Pelodiscus sinensis: one gene and its partners. The main gene of each other region encodes a partner of the protein of the gene in region 2 in a complex. Links are inferred from orthologs where the notes say so. Each region holds a gene or a part of one and is shown on either strand. Other genes may lie near its edges.

Evidence for each region.
Region 1: STRIP2 (region 2) and STRN3 share a complex: the UniProt entries of both Homo sapiens proteins name them as parts of the core of STRIPAK complex. The link is inferred for Pelodiscus sinensis from reciprocal best matches to the Homo sapiens genes STRIP2 and STRN3.
Region 3: STRIP2 (region 2) and STK26 share a complex: the UniProt entries of both Homo sapiens proteins name them as parts of the core of STRIPAK complex. The link is inferred for Pelodiscus sinensis from reciprocal best matches to the Homo sapiens genes STRIP2 and STK26.

The regions. Positions count from the first base shown.
Region 1 is NC_134714.1:51,159,662-51,166,615, reverse strand, and holds the start of STRN3 (striatin-3), read right to left. Parts: upstream 3,005-6,954; 5' UTR 2,814-3,004; coding exon 2,511-2,813; intron 2,358-2,510; exon of another isoform or gene 1,829-2,357; intron 1-1,828. UniProt on the Homo sapiens protein: Calmodulin-binding scaffolding protein which is the center of the striatin-interacting phosphatase and kinase (STRIPAK) complexes.
Region 2 is NC_134711.1:4,396,666-4,404,621, forward strand, and holds the start of STRIP2 (striatin-interacting protein 2), read right to left. Parts: upstream 3,045-7,956; 5' UTR 3,006-3,044; coding exon 2,889-3,005; intron 1-2,888. UniProt on the Homo sapiens protein: Plays a role in the regulation of cell morphology and cytoskeletal organization. Required in the control of cell shape. Calmodulin-binding scaffolding protein which is the center of the striatin-interacting phosphatase and kinase (STRIPAK) complexes.
Region 3 is NC_134723.1:45,941,826-45,949,162, forward strand, and holds the start of STK26 (serine/threonine-protein kinase 26), read right to left. Parts: upstream 3,005-7,337; 5' UTR 2,872-3,004; coding exon 2,830-2,871; intron 985-2,829; exon of another isoform or gene 970-984; coding exon of another isoform or gene 961-969; intron 1-960. UniProt on the Homo sapiens protein: Serine/threonine-protein kinase that acts as a mediator of cell growth. Modulates apoptosis. In association with STK24 negatively regulates Golgi reorientation in polarized cell migration upon RHO activation.

The DNA.
Region 1 (6,954 bases), on a different chromosome or scaffold from region 2:
AAGAGTTACTTGGATCTATGTGGAGTACTCATATTGGCATCTAGGGAACAACTTAATTGCATGTTTGCAGGGTTAAGGCTGCTAAATAAGGGCTGTTCTCATTGTTTATGCCTTCACAACTTGAGTAATGATGAGAGCCCTAACCCAATGATAGTGGTCTGACTAAAACACTAAGCCATGGGATATAGCCTCACATACATAATATCCAAAAAATTCGTCATGTTCATCAATATGACATCTAGAGAGATCAAACAACTCACTAACAGTACAGGCAGTCCCCGGGTTACGTACAAGATAGGGACTGTAGGTTTGTACTTAAGTCGAATTTGTACTTAAGTCGGAACTGGAGTCCAGATTCAGCCGCTGCTGAAACTGACCAGCGGCTGACTACAGGAAGCCCGAGGCACAGTTTCTCTGCCCCGGGCTTCCTGGAATCAGCCACTGATCAGTTTCAGCAGTAGCTGAATCTGGATGCCTGGGACAGAGCAGCTGGGGCGCTGCCTGGTAGGTCTCTGCAGCGCCGCACCTCAGCGCTGCGGGGACCAACCGGGCAGCACCTCAGCTGCTCTGCCCCAGGTGTCCCCAAGTCAGCTGCTGCTGAAACTGATCAGCGACTGATTTCAGGAAGCCCGGGGCAGAGAAACTCTGCCTCGGGCTTCCTGTAGTCAGCCGCTGGTCAGTTTCAGCAGCGGCTGACTTGGAGACTCCTGGGGCAGAGCAGCTGAGGTGCTGCCGGGTTGGTCCAGTAGCGCCGAGGAGCGGCGCTGCAGGACCAACCGGCAGCGCCCCAGCTGCTCTACCACAAGCATCCCCGAGAAAGGCCTGGTCTGCTGGGGGGGGGCACTAGCTGTGCCCCCCCCCCAGCAGACCATGGAGACGCGGGCAGCAGGACCGAGACGCGCCGAGGTGCCGCTGCCCGGGTCCTCCGCGGCTTTGCTCTGCGTCTCCCTGGTCTGCAGACCAGGGAGACGCGGAGCAAAGCCGCGGGGGGACCGCGGCGCGTCTGGGCGTCCCGCCACCTGCATCCTCCAGGGCGAGAAAAGCCCCATTCGTAAGTACAGATCCGACCTAAGTCGGATCTGCGTAACTCAGGGACTGCCTGTACTGTATTTTCAATACGATATATCTTTAAAAAATTTAGACCAGTTTTATATTTACAGTACAGTGTGATATCAAGCTATAGTAACATAATATACCTTTACAGAAGTCAAATGTTTTGATACAATTTTAGTTGCTAAGTGCTGCAAACAACTGTTTTATAAAAATATAAACATGAGCACTGAAAAAACACCCAGAGGAAACCAGATCCATAGGCAACTGCCTTCTACTGAAAATATCATACAACTAGTCCTAAATATTCCTACCTCAGGAAATGAAAGTCAGTGTACCCAAAGTGAGTTTAGAAGCAACTAGATGACAAAAGCTGAATACAGTAAAATGACAATAATTGATGTGAATAGTGGAACATTTTCAATTGGACAGTATACTACAACCAAAACACTACAAAATATGTTTCAGAGAGCTAGCTGTGTTAGTCTGTATCTGCAAAACCGAGGAGTCCTATTGCATCTTAAAAACAGATTTATTTCACCTAAGTTTTAGTGGATAAAATCCACTTCTCAGATGCACCTATTACTCACTTATTACTTACTTTCCCAGTAACCTATTACTAAGACACGCACAACAGGAAATATTTATAACCAACTCCACTGGATTGGGAATCAAACACCATATAGGCAACCTTTTTCACAATTATTTTCAGTTTCTTAGCTTTTGCTCATAATAAACACACAACTACACCTTTTAAGGGTTGATAGTTCTGACTGACCTCCACTGTTTGGTTGATAGAGTCTCCAAGGATTGGCAGACCAAACTTCTCCCTTGTTTCTATGAGTGGGAAGCTCCCTCACTTAGGCCATGGACCTTGATCTAGACTCCCAGAGGTTATGGGAGAGTTGAGCTCTGCAGGCCTGGGGGCTCTTGGTCCCTGTGACCCGCAGTCAGAAAAGTGGGATCAGCCGGCCCAAGGGGCAGGACCTGGCAGCCCCCCAGTCACTGCGTTCGGGAGGTTATTGTAGCTGTCAGAGCGCATCCTCCTCTCCCAGGAGGCCCAGCGTCCCCGGGGAGACGCAGCGCCCCAGCGGTCTGCCCTTCGGCCTCCGCCGGGACCGGCAAGCTGCGCGTGGAGGGACGCCTACAAAACGGGGCTGGCTCCCGAGCCAGGAGCCCAGGCGGGCGCCATACTGGAAACTAAAATGGCTGCCCCGGGGAAGGGAGCTCAGTTCGGGCCGTGACGAGCGGCGCCCTCGCCTGCCCCAGCGCCAATGGACATCACCTCCCCGGCGCACCTCGGACAGGTACCGTCCCGCGCAGGCTGCCTCGGGGACTGGCAAGCGCCACTGGCCACAGCTCCCGCACCTACAGCTCGGCCCACTCGCTCCCCACCCCTAGAGCTCAGCCCCCCGTCACTGGATCCGGTGCCCCAGAGGAGCCGGCCCTCGGCCTCCTACCTGCAGCTCGGCCCGCTCCACCTCCCAGTGCGCCCTCTCCATCTCGAAGCGGGCCCACTCGTGCTGGATGTAGTGCAGGATCCCCGGGATGGTGTAGTGCTGGGGCCGGGACAGCTCCGCGCGGTCCCCCCCGTCCTGGCCCGCCGCTGCCGCCGGGACCTGGGGCTGCTGCCCCCCTCCGGCCCCCACGCAGCCCGCTGCAGGCGACACGTTCATATTCCCTCCTGGCTGCGGCGGCGGCGGCTGTTGCTGCGGTCTCGGAGCGGCCGCCATCCCGCCTCCGACTCCGGGGTGCTCGTCCATTGTTTGCGGGGAGCCCTCCTCCTCCTCCTCCGCGTCCCGCTGGGACAGGGGCGTGGGGGAGCGGCGCTGGCCGGGGGGGGAGGAAGAGGGGGCGGGCCGGGCCCGGGGAGGAGGGGGAGGCTGCGCCGAGCAGTATCCGGGTGTCAGAGCAGCGCCGAGCCGCCACCAGCCGCCATTACAGTCTCCGATCCATCTCACACCCACCCACTGCGGGGAGGGCGGGGGAGCTGCGCGGGGTGTGCCGGGAAACACCCTCCGCCGAGATCGCTGACGTGCGCATGCGCACCAAAGGTTGCGAGCCCAGGAGGAGCCAGGGGGGCGGGACTGTCTGTGTCCAGGACCCGCCCAGGGAGCCCCGAGCCGCTCCTGGCCCAGAGCTAAGTGAGTGACACGATACTAGAGACGAGCGCTGCTGGAGGCCAGTCGCTGGGGCGGGGGCTGCTTCGTCTGGCCTCATTCCGCGGCAGGCGGTTCCCTGCTCCCAGGCTGCCGGGAGGGAGCTGCGACCCGCTGCCGTTTGTTTAGAAGATGTCAGCAGCCCGGGGGGCAGGGCCTCATCCTGCCCCTCCCCCCGACACGCGCGCGCGGGGGCACGGGTCTGCCAGGTTAAAACGGGCTCGGCTCGCAGGCTGCGCCAGCCGCGGATGCCGCACATGGCTGTCGCATTCTTCCAATGCTCCCAGCCCGGGCTGGGGGCCTCCCCGCGGCCAGTTTCGCTCCGGGGTAGGCGAGGTGGTGGCGCTGCCGTTCCGCCCCACCTCGGTCACCCAGAGGCGGCGAGGGGACAAATGTAACCAGGCTCCTGTCGCCTGAAACGCAGAGCCAAAGCACGAACTCTAAGCAAGGTCCCGTTCAGTGCGAGGTTGGGGAAGAAGTTTTGACAATGCCCGTGCCCTTATGTAGCTAAGGGAAACTGGGAGTCCTCCACTTGTTGGCGTTAAAAGTGGATGGTTAGCGAGTCAGAGTGGGTGAGGTAATATCTTTTATTGGCTCCATTGCTGTTGGTGAGAAATGAGCTTTCTCACCAGAGGTCGTCTTCAGATTTGGGAGGCTTACTTCTTGCCACAGCTGTCCTGGTTCTATAGGATAAACTTAAAAAACAACAAATAGTCTGGTAGCACTTTAAAGACGAACAAAACGTAGATTAGTGATAGAAATGTAGCCAAGTGCAGTAGAAACAAACTAATGAAAGTGTATATTGTATTTTAATCTTAGCAGAAATGTCAATTTATTGAAAAGTAAATCTGAGGGTTTTAAATTATTTTTTTAACAATATAAGCTGTTACTTGTCATATAAGGAGACTTTCTTTTGAATAGGCTTATTAAACTGATAATGTGAACATTTTATATGTTTGTCACATTCATGAAGGGACCATGTTTGTTTGGTTGATGTTTTAATTTTTTAAGGCAACTTTTAAAAAAATCTCTGAATGATTTGTGATGTGTGAATCAATGAGATGGTTATTTATCTAATTCATTCAGAACTTCTCTTCATGCTAAGGAAATAATTTTAAAATTTACCTACTTGCTACAACTCGGTCAGTTTCACCAGTGATAGCAATATTCAGAGCTTTAGTGTGGGTAAGAGCAGGAGGTGTTGTGAAGTAAGAGGGAGGAGCAAGGCCAGAAAGTGTTCGGGTGAGGAGCACAACAGGGGCAGGAAAAGGCAGGGTGAGGCTGGGACCCCTGAGAGTTAGGGGTGGAGTGGTGAATCCTGAACAGAGTCTCTGTCCAATACGTTAGAAAGTCAGTGCCTATGTTGTGATATACTTCATGTGAAGGGTCAAATATAAAAATATATTGACAGGATTATTTTAGAGACTTAATCTCTACAATTTGAGACAAGTGGAAGGCAGTAAAATCTCAAAACAAGTTTCCACTAATTATCAGTATCAAGTGAAGAGTGGGAAATATTATTGCTCTTTAAAATATGGTTAACTCTGTAGCAATGGCAGCATATAATTTCGAGATCCTGATGGTTTCAGTGTGGTTTCAGTCCATTCACATGTAGTGTTCCTTGGCTGCTAATAAGCGGAGAGTGAGGTTTTTGCTCCTCGCTTCTTCCCTGACTTCCCTATATTAATAGGGATTCCTTGGTTTTGGGATTTTCTTGAAGATCAAGAATTTACAAGTTGAAGGCCATATTTTCCTCCACTAAGGCTACATAGAAGTTACTACAATCCCACAGTTGTTGTAACTCACATAATAGTATTTGAGGAGGGTGATTATGTCAAATTACTATAATTGATAACATTAATAAAGCTGCATGATACTTTACAGAGACTTGATAATGAAGTCCTACTCCCTGGTCAGATTGAAGACTTGCAGGAAAAAAAGGGAGATTATTAATGTGAATGCTCCTTCCTCACTATACATTTACTTGCTTTTGGTAATAAGATCAGAGCCAGATAGGCTGATTTCCTATGAATTCTTAATATACAATCATTTGTATAAACTTATTTGCTCTCACCATTTCATCTGCTTTTTTTTTTTCTTCCAGATTCTCGCTGCGGTCTTGCCCTTTCTGACCTTTTCCCTTCTACACCCGCTACAACTCATTCTTCCCTCTCATTCATTTAGTGTCTTCTAGACAAGTGTTTCTGAACCTTTTTTAAAGTACCCCCTTTAAAACAAAATAAAATTAGAAGTACCCCTACTACCTACCGTTTTCAGACACACACAATCTTTCTGTACCATTGCAACACATTTGTTTAAACAACTTAATCGTAGCTGGGCAGGCGATGACATTTTTGGGTATAAAAAGTACAAAAATAATAAAGCGCTGTAAAACTTACAACAAAAATTCAGTTTTCTCCAAATTTCAGTTGTGTTGAAGTACCCCATCTCCCTCCAGACTTCTCTCAAGTACCCTGAAGGGTACTCGTACCACTGGTTGAGAACACTGCCCTGACACATCTTTATTTTACTTCAGGTAAAATACATCTTTATTTTAACTGTTCAGTTTCCTGCTTTTTCGGTTCCCAAATCATCATGCATGTGTATATGTGCCCACCTAGTACATAATAAAAATACAGCTCTAACTCCAAAATACCATATAACTAAGGTCTTGTTTTCACTACTGGAGATCTCAAAGCTGCATATCATTGGGCAGTGATGCAGCAGGCATTGATTTAGCAGGTCTAGTGAAAAGCTGCTCAATTGACTGCTGAGTGATCTCCAGTTGAGCCCTATACTCCACCTCTTTGAGAAGAACCAAGTAAATTGTCTCAGTGCAGTGTGGCACAGCAAAGACACCGCAGTAAATCAATCTTAAACCGTGTTGATTCTAGATATATTATTCACATATCTGAAGTAGCATTACTTTAGTTGATTTATCCCCATAGTGAAGACAAGTATTTTTTAAAAATGGAAGGGGCTAAACCAATCAGATGTTTGTTTTGTGACTCGTACTCCTCAATGATTTATGTACTTCTGGCAAATCTTAGCCTTAGGCAACTAAATATGCATTTAAAAGCCAAACTTTAGATTTTTATGTTTGAAAAACATTGACTTTATTATGTAACAGGTTAATAGGATTTTTGACATACCCATCATCTTACACCATGGCAACAATCTCCCAGTTCCACCTATGCTGCTTGCTTGCAGTTACATGCTAATAGTAAAGTACATGAAGATCTTGGAGAAAGTGGCAGAAATTCAGAGTTGTAAACTTGAGGATCCTAGAATGCATGTACAATAGGAAAGGAAATTCTAAAGTGTCACCCACTTCTCATTACTGTAATTGCCCACAGCAAAGAGAACAGCAGCAATCTATTGAGGTCAAGGAGCACACCAACTCATTCTGAAAACACACACACCAAGAAAGAAAAATGAAAACACATTCCCTAAGCAAATTGAGAATTATTTAAAAGCCTCAATCTGTGCTTGTTCCAGGATTTTCTTTTCTTCGATAACGTGAGTCACAGTGACTGATTATGACCTATTGTTTAGATTGATGTATTACTAGTTAGCCCATAGACCAGCCAAATTTGAGTGTAATTCATTCAAATAAGTACTTACCAGTGCCAGAAGCCCAACAGGACAAGGGATAGAAAAGCAGGTTCCAAAATAAGCAATGCTATTTGGACCAAAACATAATAATTAGAAAACTTGTCTAAAAATAGAAATTTTCATTATTTCA
Region 2 (7,956 bases):
TCTCTCCCCGCCCCCAGCTCTGCCTGACCCTCCCTTCCAGCTCTGACTTTTGATCTCACGCCGTCAGGGAGCCTCGACAGCACACAACCAACGCGGGGACCAAATCCAGCGCGCTGGCCATCTACGGTCGGCGCACTAAAGCTCTAGAGGAATTCGGCTAAGTAGTGGCGCCTGCAAACGTTAATCCCCCCGGCAGAGACGGCTAAACCAAAACGACCGCTGCACTTCTGACCCGAAAACGGATTGAAAGGTTGTGTCCCAAGGCCAGAATTCCACCGTCTGCCCAGGCCACCGGGGTGCGCCTTGGAAAGAGACGCCTCACCTGCACTTTGGCCAGGGCCACGCCCGAGGAGCAGCGATGGTTAAACTAAAGTTTCCAACCCGTAACGCCAGAGAACAGATAGGGCAGGTTTTTACAGCCGAAGGAACGAGACTATTCAGAGACCGCGTCCTATCGTCCACCAATGTTCTCCGCACCGAGCTCTCACTACGCAGGATCACCCCGGCGTGTCCGGCATCTCTCATCCATCACATTCGTACCCAGATCTAATCGGAGCAGCGGCTGAGCTCCGCTCTGGCTCAGTGCTGGCTTCGAAGAGAAGCCGCGGAGACGAGATGCCCCCAATCAGAGCTAGAGAGCCCCCGAAGAGCGTCAGCCTGGTGGGAACTCGAATCCTCCATCCCAGGCTCCGGAGGTTGCTGACTTACCCGTGAGGCCCCCGGAGAACCCGCCCCACTGCGCTACCTTCAGCCAGCCCAGGCTGGCTTTTGCGGGGGGAGGGGGGGGAAGAACAGGACGTTGGTGCTGCACTATTAGACATACGGTCCCTTCCTGCACCTGTGAAATCAACCTTTCATCAATCTCAGCGAGACCCTGCCCTCTGCCATTCCGGCCTCCCTCTCCGCCCTCCTGCTCTTTCCCCCACGAGCGCCTCGTCGCTCTCCCCCATGCTGGAAGAGGGACCCGTCTTTGATCCCACACAATGGCCGTCAATTCCTCGCCCCCCCCTTCCCGGAATCCTTCCCACAGTGACCCCCTCTTGTTAACACGCTACCGGTTCCTTTTAAAATCTACGCTCCAGCTGGCGGGTCTGGCAAGCCCCAACGCTGGCGTGTGCATCCTTCCAATGCGCATCTGCCCCCGTGCCCCGTCAGCAGCATAAACTCTTGGACTGTCTCTCCAGCTGCCATGCATCCAGCAGGCTCCATCAAGCGCAAGGGAGGGAGGGAGTGCAGGGAGAGCCAGCCAGAGGAACAAGGAGGGGGCATGAGGGAACACCCCGGTTAGCAATCCGAATTTTGACAGGGGCCTGTGGGCGGGGGGCAGTGCTCCTCCTGGGTGCTACCACGAGTCGCCCATGCAGCCAAGTGTGAATGCTGCTCACGATCTCGGCAGCAATCGCCCAACCTGTGGCTTGCCCGCATCCATCTACTCAGCAGCCTCGCTCCAAGTGCCCCGGCCCGGCGCTTCGGAGGAAGAAACCCCGGAATGAACAATTATGAAGTCACCGGAGGAGGGCAGGTTCCCAGTGCCTGGCGAGAGGCAGCACCCCAACCTGGCAGAAGACTGACAGGTCCCCCCCCCCATCTCCACTTCCCGGGGGGCTCATTACGCAGCAGGCGTCATCCAGCCGGTGCATCTCTAGAGCGAGGGTGCACCCACCACCCCGGTGCCAGCTCATGGCCCTGCCACTAGGTGCGGGAGGAGAAAACTTGCCTCCTCCAGCGCCCCTCCGATCTGGGGGTGCAGCGCTGGTTCCCGGGGGGGGGGGCTGACAAGTCCCTCCCCACTTCAGTCCTCTGCTGTCTGAGCCCCCCTCCCCCACCAGGCTGCCAGGAGCTGCAGCGAGGCTGCAATAAGGCGCCGACCCCAGCTGCTCCTGTACGTCCCGGCCCGGCCGCGCCTCCGGGCGGGGGCTGCAAAGCGAGCCGGGCAGGGGAGCCCGCAGCGGCCCCGACCTCCCCGCCCCACGGGCCGCCCCCTGCCCGGGCCCCGCGGGGAGCCGCAGCGCCCCAGGCACCTGTCGCCGGAGCCGGGGAGGCGCCCGCCCGGGAGCGATCGGGCCCCGCGCGCGGCTGCGAGCAAAGGGCAGGAGGCGCAGGGCAGCCGCGGGACCCCCGCCAGCAGCTCCCCGGGACGGGGCGGGCCCCTCCGCCGGCGGGGTTGGGGGGGGCCAGGGGGCTGCTGGGTGCCCTCGGGGGGGCTGGCTGGGTCCCCCAGAGGGACGGGGGGGTGGGTGGATCCCCAGGGGGGCAGGCTGCGGGGGTCCCCCAGAGGGACGGGGGGGTGGCTGAGTGCCCGGGGGGGCTGGGTGGTTCCCAGGCGGGGCTGGCGGGGGGCCTGGGTGGGTCCCCCAGAGGGACGGGGGGGTGGCTGAGTGCCCGGGGGGGCTGGGTGGGTCCCCCAGAGGGACGGGGGGTGGCTGAGTGCCCGGGGGGGCTGGGTGGGTCCCCCAGAGGGACGGGGGGTGGCTGAGTGCCCGGGGGGGCTGGGTGGTTCCCAGGGGGGGCAGGCGGGTGGGCTGGGTGGGTCCCCCAGAGGGACGGGGGGGTGGCTGAGTGCCCGGGGGGGCTGGGTGGGTCCCCCAGAGGGACGGGGGGTGGCTGAGTGCCCGGGGGGGCTGGGTGGTTCCCAGGGGGGGCAGGCGGGTGGGCTGGGTGGGTCCCCCAGAGGGACGGGGGGTGGCTGAGTGCCCGGGTGGGCTGGGTGGGTCCCCCAGAGGGACGGGGGGTGGCTGAGTGCCCGGGGGGGCTGGGTGGGTCCCCCAGAGGGACGGGGGGTGGCTGAGTGCCCGGGGGGGCTGGGTGGGTTCCCGGGGGGGCTGAGTGCCCGGGGGGGTGGGTGGGTCCCCCAGAGGGACGGGGGGTGGGTGCCCCCCCTCTCTCACCTCGGACTCCTTCCGCTGGCTCCTGAACAGCTCCCGCCCCTTGGCCTGCAGCGGCCTCCCCCTGCCGGGCGCCCCGTCCCCGGGCAGGGCGCTGCTGGCCGCCCCGGTCTCCTCCATGCGCCCCTCTGCCCTGCCCGCGCCAGCACGTGCAGGCTGAACCCCCCCCCCCCTCCACCCAGGGACTCGCCACGCCCCCGCGCTGCCATTGGCTGGCTGTCTCCGCCGGGGACACACCCCTAGGCGCCGATTGGCTGCGTGAGCGGCTGCCAGGGCGGGGCTGGGGGGAGAGGACACTCTGGGGTGACCACTAGACCATGTGGTCTGGCCCTGGGCTGGGGGACAAGCTGCAGCCAGGGGAGGGTAAAGGAGCAGTGGGCGCCGCTTCAAAGGGGACAGAGCGGAGCTTGTATGAAGCCCCGGTTCGCCCACAGCTTGGATGCTGCCTGCAGGTGGGTGGGCGCCTCCGCTCACAAAAGGCACCTTGGTTCAGAGAAGGGGATCGAAAATGATGAGGGGCTTGGAACAGGTGCCATGAGGAGAGAGAAAAACTGGGACTTTTCGGCTTAGGAAAGAGAAGACTAAGGGGGAAGATGATAGAGGTCTATAAATTCATGGCAGGTGTGGAGAAAGTGAATAAGGCAAAGTTCCTTGTTCCTATCACATCAGAATGAGGGGTCTCTAAGTGAAATGAATAGGTAGCAGGTTTAAAACAAATAAAAGGAAGGTGGTTTTTTTTTGCACAGCGCACAACCTGTGGAACTCCTTGCCAGAGGATGTTGTGAAGACCAGGACTTGAAGAGGGTTCAACATAGAGCTAGATAAATTCATGGAGGTTAGGTTCATTAATGGCTATTAACCAGGATGCGTAGGGATGGTGGCTCTAGCCTCTGTTTGTCAGAAGATGGGAATGGGTGACAGGAGAGAGATCACTTAATGATTCCCTGTTCTGTTCACTTCCCCCCGTCTCCCCGGGGCACCTGGCATTGGCCACTGTCAGCAGACAGGACTCTGGGCTAGATGGACCTTTGGTCTGACCCAGTGTGGCTCTTCTCATGGGAGAGGCTGGGGCCTCAGCTGGGACGGTGTGAAAAGGCCGCGGGCACTAAGGGGAAGGAGGGAGGTTGCTGCCCCCAGGGACAGAAGGCCTGTGGCAGCAGGTGGGATGTGGCAGGAGTTAGAGACATGGCCACCGCAGAGCAGGATTCACTCTCAGGGCAGTGGTGGAAACGAGGCAGACGCCAGGGCGTGTGAAAGGGGAGACAGGGCGTCACAGGGTTAGGCTTTTTCTCCCTTGTGGCCACAGCACTTTTCCTCAGGCCGGGTTCCCATGCCCTTTGTGAACCAGAGGGACTCAGTCTGTCCCGTCACAACAGCTGCCTGTGGTTGGAAGCTGAAAGCCAGAAGGGCATCGCAGAACTGGACGGGCAGAAATTTCAGTCCAAATGGCCAAGGTGGTGATAAAAACACCGAGCAGAGGGGATCTCAGTTTAACTTCTCAACCGGCCCCCCCCCCAAGAAACTCAGTAGGGCTCGCTGTATCTGCCTCTCTCACTGTCCGTTGATCTTGGATCCCGCCTTCATTCTGATGGAGATGTTGTGTGTGTCTTTGGGCAACCCCTAGATTTTAAGGCCAGAGGGGAGCACCAGGTTATGTGAAGTCACCTCCACAGTACCAGCCATTACATTTTCCCCTCCACTTGTGTTTGACAAAAACACCTTCCAGTCTTGATTGGAAAACACCAAGAGAAGGAGAACCCACCACTTCCCTAATCACCCCCCATTAACATTGTTTGCATCTCTTTCCTCACCCATTGAGCACCGTTATAGACCCCACAACACACTAGCCCAGTTTGCCACAGCATCACCCACCTGGAAGCTTGTCCCTTGTGACCCCTGTACAGCTTTTTCAAAGGCACGGCTTTCCCATCCGCCATGGTCTCCATGCCTTGTTCCAAGAGTAATAGAGATGTAGCCGTGTTAGTCTGGTGTAGCTGAAACAAAAAACAGGACTATGTAGCACTTTAAAGACTAACAAGATGGTTTATTAGGTGATGAGCTTTCGTGGGCCAGACCCACTTCCTCAGATCAAATTGTGGAAGAAAATTGGCCTGACCATATATACCAAAGGGATACAATCAAAAAAAGTGAACACGTATAAAAAGGACAAATCACATTTCAGAACAGAGGGGGGATGAGGTGGGGAGGTTAATGTCTGAGCTAATGATATTAGAGGTGATAATTGGGGAAGCTATCTTTGTAATGGGTAAGGAAATTAGCATCTTTGTTGAGACCTAGGCAAATTGCATTTGGCTCCGTACGAATTCCTGACCTCTTGTGCTACTTGGCCAGTCTGTGTGTCAGCCACTGATTTTATCAGCAGCACTTTTACACTGCTTCCAGCCCATTGCTGAAAATATTGCACAGAAGCCGTCCAAATACCAATCGCTGCAACCTCCCCCCCAAAACACCCGAGCGGGTGATTCTCCAGTGACAGCTACAGAGTGAGCTCCGTTAGCCACTTCTTACTCCAGTTAACATGTGCTCTCTTACTACGGGGGACTGCCAATTCTGATCAGACTGTCGTGGGGTACTAAGTCAAACACCTTTCAAAAGCCTTTATATGTTGCATCTAATTTCAAACCCCCAAGCATTAAATCAGGTTTGTTTGTCAAGACCTGTTTTCCATAAAACAATGTCGACTGTCATTAATTATATTCCTGTTCATTAATTCTTTATCTAGAGTCCTGTATCGGCTCTGCCTGAGTACCGACACAGCATTAGCTTTCTACCAGTGTTCTGGAATTGCCCCGGCTCCAATACTTACTAAAAACGAACAGCAGGCGGCGAGAGATCTCCAACTCATTTTGAGCATTTGGGGGCAAGTTACTCGGGTGGATTTAAAAGTGTTTATTGCCAGTAGTTGTCTACCATCTTCCTTGGCTAGGAATGGACTGCAAGCGCCGTGGGGATGCGAACTGCCCCTTGTGTCTTTCCACAGACAGAGCAGTAATAGCGACTGAAGAAATATAAAACAGAATTAGACTATTTGCCAAAGTCACTGTGTGGCTCCGTGCCTCAGTTTCCCCAGCTGTAAAAGGAGACCACGCTTTCTTCACAGTGCTGCAAAGCACTCTGGGAGCAGGACGGGAAGGTCTGTAGTGGAGAAAGCAGCGTCCACGGTGACACAGCATCTCTGGCCGAGGAATGAGACTATTCAGCATCGTTGTATCACATTCCAGACATTTCCAAATGAGTTCACTGGGGCTCTGCAGGATTTTGCCTGACCAGACAGGGGACCTGATCCTGCCCTTGTGAGTCTTCCAGGGGTCTCTGGCTGCCTGCCCATTGCCAAAATGAAATGTTCTTCCAGTGCTCAGAGAAAGGACAAACCCCAACCCCCCCCCCCCCCCCCCCACTCCAGGCTTCCAGAGCTTAGCATAGTGGCAGGCAGCCTGCGGCACATCAGGGCTCTACGTGCAGCCTACGAGACATTTTGTTTACTGTTGTCCACACGCAGGGCTGCCAGATTCTGCTGGTTTTTGTCAGTGTCGGTTTTTCCCTACCACTATTACTGAAGTGACCCGCCCGTGTGTGTCGAGTGAGGAGCAGGCTGATTGCTACAACACTGAATGTGAGCGCCGGGCGCTCCCTCTGCAGCCAGTCCCAGCGCTGCTACGGTGCAATCGGCACCCCCCGCACATTCTAGCTACGCAAGTGCAGTGAGCAAAACTACCCGATCCTGGGAGAGCGTCTTGGTGACAACAATCTTGCGGCCACTCACCAGCCTCGGTTGCCCATCGCTGGCTCAGCTGGTTCCCGGGAGGGACTAGTCCTAGGCCTTCCTAGAGCAGCGCTGCTGGGGACTACATCACACTCACATTCATCGTCCGTTTCCTAAGGCCCAGCAGCAGCGGGATTAAACCCTTCCTTTCCTGTCAGAATCACAGAATCAGAGCATCAGGGGATGTCAACTTTGCAGAGCCAAGGAGCCATGTTTTCTAGTGACTGGTCACTTCCAGGCAGTTTGGGACAGTGATGGGAGGATGTTCAACACTCCTGCTTTTGAGGGTGCCAAAGCGACTGTGGACATAAGGTTAAAACCACAATAACCCAGGTAAAGAGAGTTTATTACCTGTCCTCCTTAGTAACGATTTGGGACAGTGCTTGAAAGTCAGGCCTCGTGGAGAAGATAGATGGCTACAGAGGATTTTCTACACATCTGAAACCACGGTTATCTGGGGCTAGATTTGGAATCAGAGATAGTGGAAAGGCATCACCCCTTCCAGAGACATAATGGAGCTCACCCATAACTTAATCAGCAGCATGTAGGAAAAGAGACAGAGATCCCAGAACAAAATGAACACAGCAGGAGGGAGGTAGAAGCTCTTCACTGCATGCCCCTTGCCGAGATTCTAAGGGCTATAAAATCATGATTGGTGTGGAGGAAGTAAATAAGGAAAAGTTATTTGCCTGTTCTCATAACATAAGAACTAGGGGTCACCAAAAGAAATTAATAGGTAGCAGGTTTAAAACAAAGGAAGCATTTCTTCACAATCTACCTGTGGAACTCCTTGCCAGAGGATGTTGTGAAGGCTAAGTCTTTTACCGAGTTCAGCAAAGATAAATTCATGGAAGTTAGGTCCATCAGTGGCTATTAGCCAGGATGCGTAGGAATGGTGTCCCTGGCCTCTGTTGTTAGAAGCTGGAAATGGAGGACAGAGACGGATCATGTGAGGATTCCCTGGTCTGTTCATTCTCTCTGGGGCATCTGGCATTGGCCACTGTCGGCAGACAGGACACTAGGCTAGATGGACCTTTGGTCTGACCCAATATGGCCGTTCCTATGTTCTAAACATAGCAACTGATTTTCAGGCACGAACACAACGGGTAACAAACCCTTTACTCAGCTGACCAGGCCCAGTGACTTCCACAGGAAGAGCTGGAAGAACCGGGTGTATGGGGGAAGGGCTGGAAGAAATTTCATCCTTTTTAATCTGTATTTTCCTGTTATCTTTCTGGGTCTTGTATCAACATTGAGTGTTTGCAAAAGGCCTGCTAAGGGAGGTGA
Region 3 (7,337 bases), on a different chromosome or scaffold from region 2:
GGAAAGCGTGCTTTAAGTCTACATGTGCACAACAAGGTCTGGGTTAAACTAAAAATGCAGAAGTGAAAGGTAAAGGTAAATATTGGAAAATGGTGCTCTAAATAATGTCAGAGTCCTGTCTGGACTACACTAGGGATGTTAAATTTAGATTAATTGGCTAATTGAATAGTCAATGCAATTTGCATCAACTATTCGATTAGTCGATAAGAGCACCTCCACCTTTGAAATGTAGCAACAGCCCTAGGGCACTGCCATTTTGAACCACCCTGTTCTCTTCCTCCCTCCTTTCTGCCTCTTTCTGATAGAGGCAGCAAGAGGGGAAGGGGGGGGGGGGGGGGGGAGCGACTAGTTGACTAGCATGTTGACTGTTGGATAAGCATTTGCTTATCGGATAGTCGACTAGTTGCTCACATCCCTAGAGTAGACGGCAGCTCAAGAAAATGAATAGCAGAGCAACTTTTAAGATGAAGAAATGGACAACCAGATTATGGAATTTACACACAGAAAGTGTTCAAAATACTTATCAAAGCAATACAGGAAAATTCTCTGAAGAGAAGTCACACCAGGGATGTAACTAAAAAAACAAGGCTTAGACTAAGATTTCTCAGTCATTTTCCAAAAAAGTTCACTTGCTTCTAATTTTTAAAAATGTACCATCATCAACATTGATATAATGTGGAAATAAAGTGTATTGTCAAGTTAAAACGATATAGCAAAGTGTGGGTTTGATGTCTGTTTGCACAATAGAAAACTGATGATGCAATTACTTTGAAAGGACAAATTCAAGAGATTTCAGAAGAAGTACAGAAATGGTGCAGATCTTTAGAAATAACGGTACTAACTTTAGCCTTACAAATGTTATCATTAGCCCGGCCCACTTTGCTGAAAGTTCATTAGCCTTCACCATTTTTGGAAAGGGCACAATTATAGTGTTTGGGTAAACATTCCATAAATACTTACAAGCTGCATCTAATCACACTCAAAATATTGTTACTAGGAGTTTTGAAATCTCCCTTTACTCTACACAGAATTCTCCAATTTTCATCCTAAAAGCTGTTGTATTAATTTCTTCCTTGATTTCACAGGCATGACTGCAAAATGAAGAAAAAAAAACTCAAACAGAAATTGTATTTTCTATTTTTTAGAGTTTGGTACTTTTAGTTGTAGCTGTGCCTCCTAGGATTCTGGCACAAAGCCCTCCAGAGTTTATGGACATACACGGTCTCAGAAAAATTCATTTGCTTTTTTTATTTTTATTTAATTTGTAGAGTGGTGTGTAAAAAAGTAATTGACATTTAAACTAGGTAGAGGAAAAAAGAGGAACAGATATTACTAGAAAAATTAGATAACTAGGAATGCACAAATTTGTTTTGTTTATTTTACAAAACCCAAGCTTTTTTACAAGAACTGAGATATGCTAAAAATAGGACATCGCAGTGCAGGGCTGAAATGACTTGTCTTGAAAACATTCTGGATCATCACTCTCATTGGGAAAAGTTACAAGACTCGTTTTCAAAGGAAAATAGCATATGTCTACACAAACTGAGTGAAGACGCTATCTTCACCAACAGGGGAGGTTCTCTGTGGGTAGAGGTGCTCCACCCTCCCTAACAGATGGCAGCTAGGCAGACACAGCTGCCCTTGGCCTCCTGCTGTCTACCAGGGGCATTCGAATGGTTAACTGAAATGCTCTGGGGCGTGGCTGTGTAATACCCCTAACAGATATTAGTCACATCAACCTAATTTCCCAATGTATACAAGACTTAAGGAGTTTGATGCCCAAATGCCACTGAAATGGGCATCTGGTGCCTAATTCTTTAGAATTAGGTGAGAACCCCACCCTAAATCTGCTTGAGGACCTTAGAAAGAGGAACCATGTCAGAGGTACTTCAGTGTATCCAAAAAGCAAAAACTGTCAACAGCAGCAACAAATACACACAGAAGCCCATTTGTAAATGGGGCTCCCAGTCTGGTGCCAGCCACAAGACTCTCAACAGAAGGACCACTCTGAACAGCAGCAAACTCGCTGTAAGCTGGCGGGGCTTCACCTTCCCCATCTCTTTCCATGCACCACGCGCCCCCCGGGGAACCCTCCACACAGGCTGGCGCCAGGCAGTGTACCCGGGCCAGCTGGGCTGACATGGCCTGTCATTGCAGACACACCCATGCAGCAGGTGACATAGCAAGGCCTCTTTTAACCCTTCAAACGCACTTGGGTGCTGCGGGATGAAAGGTGGCTTCCAAACAAAGCCCCTGTAGTGCTATGGGGGGCCCAGCCACAGCCCAGGCCCCCGCTCCCCCCACCAGTGTCTGGCCCCCTCAATCCCCCCACTTGTGTCTGCCCCCCCGCCAGAGCCAGGAACTGCTCATCTCCCCCCCCAGCCCTGCTCCCCCCCAGCCACAGCCCAGGCCCCCGCTCCCCCCACCAGTGTCTGGCCCCCTCAAACCCCCCCGCTCCCCCCACCAGTGTCTGGCCCCCTCAAACCCCCCCGCTCCCCCCACCAGTGTCTGGCCCCCTCAAACCCCCCCGCTCCCCCCACCAGTGTCTGGCCCCCCCAACCCCCCCGCTCCCCCCACCAGTGTCTGGCCCCCCCAACCCCCCCGCTCCCCCCACCAGTGTCTGGCCCCCCCAACCCCCCCGCTCCCCCCACCAGTGTCTGGCCCCCTCAACCCCCCCACTTGTGTCTGCCCCCCCCCGCCAGAGCCAGGAACTGCTCATCTCCCCCCCCAGCCCTGCTCCCCCCCAGCCACAGCCCAGGCCCCCCCGCCAGAGCCAGGAATCGCTCATCTCCCCCCCGCGCGGCCCCGGCCCGGCGCAGGCCCGCTCACCTGCATGCCGGGCACCTGCACGGCCACGGGCGAGTGGGCCATGGCGGCCGGGCCCGAGCGCTGCGGGCTCCAGGCGGGGCGAGAGGCCCGCTCCCTAGCGCGCGGCCCGGTCCCGGCGGCTGCGGCGCGCGCTGCCCATGGCGGGAGGGGCTCAGGGCGCCGCGGCGGCCGGCGCCATGTTGGGCTCGGGAGGCTGCGGCGGCTCCGTCCTTCCGTCCGCTCGGCGGGGCGCGGGGTGGAGCCGGGACCGCCCACGGGGGGCGGGGCCTGGGGGATCGGGGGGGGGGGTCTCTGCAGGGCGGGGCGGGGCCTGTGGGGGGGTCTCTGCAGGGCGGGGCCTGTGGGGATCGAGGGGGGGTCTCTGCAGGGCGGGGCGGGGCCTGTGGGGGGGTCTCTGCAGGGCGGGGGGGGCGCTTGTGGGGATCGAGGGGGGTCTCTGCAGGGCAGGGGGGGAGGGGAGCCTGTGGGGATCGAGGGGGGTCTCTGCAGGGCGGGGGGGCGCTTGTGGGGATCGAGGGGGGTCTCTGCAGGGCAGGGGGGGCGCTTGTGGGGATCGAGGGGGGTCTCTGCAGGGCAGGGGGGGCGCTTGTGGGGATCGAGGGGGGTCTCTGCAGGGCAGGGGGGGCGCTTGTGGGGATCGAGGGGGGTCTCTGCAGGGCGGGGGGGCGCTTGTGGGGATCGACGGGGGGTCTCTGCAGGGCAGGGGGGGCGCTTGTGGGGATCGAGGGGGGTCTCTGCAGGGCGGGGCCTGTGGGGATCGAGGGGGGTCTCTGCAGGGCGGGGGGGGCGCTTGTGGGGATCGAGGGGGGGTCTCTGCAGGGCGGGGGGGGCGCTTGTGGGGATCGAGGGGGGTCTCTGCAGGGCGGGGGGGGAGGGGAGCCTGTGGGGATCGAGCGGGGTCTCTGCAGGGCAGGGGGGGAGGGGAGCCTGTGGGGATCGAGGGGGGTCTCTGCAGGGCGGGGGGGCGCTTGTGGGGATCGAGGGGGGTCTCTGCAGGGCAGGGGGGGCGCTTGTGGGGATCGAGGGGGGTCTCTGCAGGGCGGGGGGGCGCTTGTGGGGATCGACGGGGGGTCTCTGCAGGGCAGGGGGGGCGCTTGTGGGGATCGAGGGGGGTCTCTGCAGGGCGGGGCCTGTGGAGATCGAGGGGGGTCTCTGCAGGGCGGGGGGGGCGCTTGTGGGGATCGAGGGAGGTCTCTGCGGGGCGGGGCCTGTGGGGATCGAGGGGGGTCTCTGCAGGGCGGGGGGGGCGCTTGTGGGGATCGACGGGGGGTCTCTGCAGGGCGGTGGGGGCGCTTGTGGGGATCGACGGGGGGTCTCTGCAGGGCGGGGGGGGCGCTTGTGGGGATCGACGGGGGGTCTCTGCAGGGCGGGGGGGGAGCCTGTGGGGATCGAGGGGGGTCTCTGCAGGGCGGGGGGGCGCTTGTGGGGATCGAGGGAGGTCTCTGCAGGGCGGGGGGGCGCTTGTGGGGATCGAGGGAGGTCTCTGCAGGGCGGGGGGGGCGCTTGTGGGGATCGAGGGGGGTCTCTGCAGGGCGGGGCGGGGCCTGTGGGGATCGAGGGGGGGTCTCTGCAGGGTGGGGGGGAGCTTGTGGGGATCGAGGGGGGGTCTCTGCAGGGTGGGGGGGGCGCTTGTGGGGATCGAGGGGGTCTCTGCAGGGCGGGGGGGAGCTTGTGGGGATCGAGGGGGTCTCTGCAGGGCGGGGGGGAGCTTGTGGGGATCGAGGGGGGTCTCTGCGGGGCGGGGCCTGTGGGGATCGAGGGGGGGGTCTCTGCAGGGCAGGGGGGGAGCCTGTGGGGATGGAGGGGGGGGTCTCTGCAGGGCACGGTGGAGGAGGAGCCTGTGGGGATGGAGTTGGGGGTCGCTGCAGGGCACGGGGGAGCCTGTGGGGATAGAGTTCGGGGTCTCTGCAGGGCATGGGGGATGGACCTGGGGGTCTCTGCAGGGCAGGGGGGGAGCCTGTGGGGATGGAGGGGGGGGTCTCTGCACGGCAGGGGGGGAGCCTGTGGTGTAGGTGGAGCTTGGTCCTGCCTTGAGGGCGGGGGGCTGGACTCGATGCCCTTTTGAGGTCCCTTCCAGTCCTATTATTCTATGATTCTATGATGGAGGGGGGGGGTCTCTGCAGGGTGGGGGGGAGCCTGTGGGGATGGAGGGGGGGTCTCTGCAGGGCACGGTGGAGGGGGAGCCTGTGGGGATGGAGGGGGGGTCTCTGCAGGGCACGGTGGAGGGGGAGCCTGTGGGGATGGAGGGGGGGTCTCTGCAGGGTGGGGGGGAGCCTGTGGGGATGGAGGGGGGGTCTCTGCAGGGCACGGTGGAGGGGGAGCCTGTGGGGATGGAGTTGGGGGTCGCTGCAGGGCACGGGGGAGCCTGTGGGGATAGAGTTCGGGATCTCTGCAGGGCACGGGGGATGGACCTGGGGGTCTCTGCAGGGCACGGGGGAGCCTGTGGGGATAGAGTTCGGGATCTCTGCAGGGCACGGGGGATGGACCTGGGGGTCTCTGCAGGGCACGGGGGAGCCTGTGGGGATAGAGTTCGGGGTCTCTGCAGGGCACGGGGGATGGACCTGGGGGTCTCTGCAGGGCACGGGGGATGGAGCCTGCAGTGTGGAGCTGGGGATCGCTGGGGCGGAACAGGAGATGGATCCCCCGGCTCTCAATGTGCCCTCCCCCCATACTCCTTACTGCCGGGGGCCTCAGAACAGGGCCCAGACCTTCACACCCACCTGGTGCCCCTCTGCCAAAGTGGGCCTCCCCCTGCAGGAACCAAGTCTGTGGGCCCTTTGCTTGGCAGGCCCATGGATGAGGGCCTGTGTTCCTTCATACTTGACCAAGGCTCAGGGGTTCCTTGGCCAGGCCCATGGATGAGGCTCGGCTCAGCTTCCCTCCCCAAGCTCACCTGATGGGGGTCACTGCAGTGTGCTAGCACCGCTCTCCCATGCTGCTTGCCAAGCATAATTTTTTGGGGCCTAGTACAAACTTATAACACAGGCCTCCCTCCCATATGTATGACAATTTGCAGCCTGGACCTCTGGGCCTCAGTGAAGTGTACCCTTCTCCCCTCCCCACCATGTGGGGGCCCCGGGCGGCAACCCACTTGTCCTTCCCCAAGGATGCTGTTTATCAACAAGGAGGACACTGTGTTCTGCTCTTCCGTGGCATTTGCTCTCTTAATGAAGGAGGAGATGTCTGCAATAGCTATTGGAGATCCTCTTGAGACAGAAATTGCTTAGGAATTGTGGCCTTTTGTACAGGCATCACTGTATTCAACTCAGTTTGGTGGGTTTATAATTTGACATCCTGGAAACATCTAACGAAGCAAGTCTTATGTTTTGATTTGTTCATCTAGTAGTCCACAGTTCTTCCATAGCCTCCTTTGAGGAGGATACAAAGTTGGCAACGTCCTCTCTTTTCACCGGCTGCATTGCTGGTATGGGGAAGCCACTGTTCACCTTCTTGTGGCTCAGTTTCTCCACTTGACCAGTTGCCTCCAACATAACGATCACCCCCAGCTTTCGTTCTTCTGTTCGAACTTAACACTTGGCTGATCTCCACTGTGTCCCCCTTGGTAAACACCCAGACACAGTGATGTTTTTTCTTTTTACAGTTATTCCATCCCCTAAGATATGAGCCTGCTCCTGGGTTTAGTCTTCCTTAGCGATGATTTTCCCCTCTTGAGGATGATTTTTCAATTGTCCAGCTCCAGTTATTTCTCTTAGCTGCCACAGAACCTCCTGACCTTACTTTACCTCCCTTCTGTGATGGGCAATTCTGCTTCATGTTTGAAAGGAAGGAAAAATAGTATTTCAGGTGACTTTCCTCTGTACTTAGTACCCTGCACTCATGTATAGTTATGGGTAAAACCTATGACAGTGCATATCTACAGTAGGTCTAAAATGCCTTTTTATCCAAAATGGTTCTTTCTTGTGATGTATCAGTTGCTCTGAAAATTTACTCCATTGTCTGACACCTCCATAACCCAAATTTGCTCAGATCTAGAGAACTGAGCTCATATGAATTAGGCAGTACTTTTTGGCTTTGTCTACACTGCAGAGTTTTTGCGCAAGAAGCTTTTTGCAGAAGAGATCTTCTGCAAAAACTTCCTGTGCAAAAGCACGTCCACACCTCAAAAGCACATCGCAAAGCGATGTGCCGTTGCGCAAGAGAGCATCCACACTGTAGGAACACTCTTACGCAAGAAATCTCTGATGGCCATTCACAAGAACTCTTGTGCAAAAAGGAGTTATTCCTCGTAGAAAGAGGTATACCTACACCACAAAAAGCCCTCTGTTCTGCCCTTCTGCTGTACATTTTCTTGCACAAAAATGCACTTGAGGTATGGATGCTCCACAGGTTTTTGTGCAAAATTAACTGTAGCCAGCATGCAGGCCCTTGCTCTTGGATAGTACCCTTTCTCCTCCTCAAACGTTCCAATGGGGCCCATTATCATTCTAGAAAGCCCTTACACAACTGGAGAGAGAGAGTTACCTGCTGGCCCTACTGAATTCAATAGG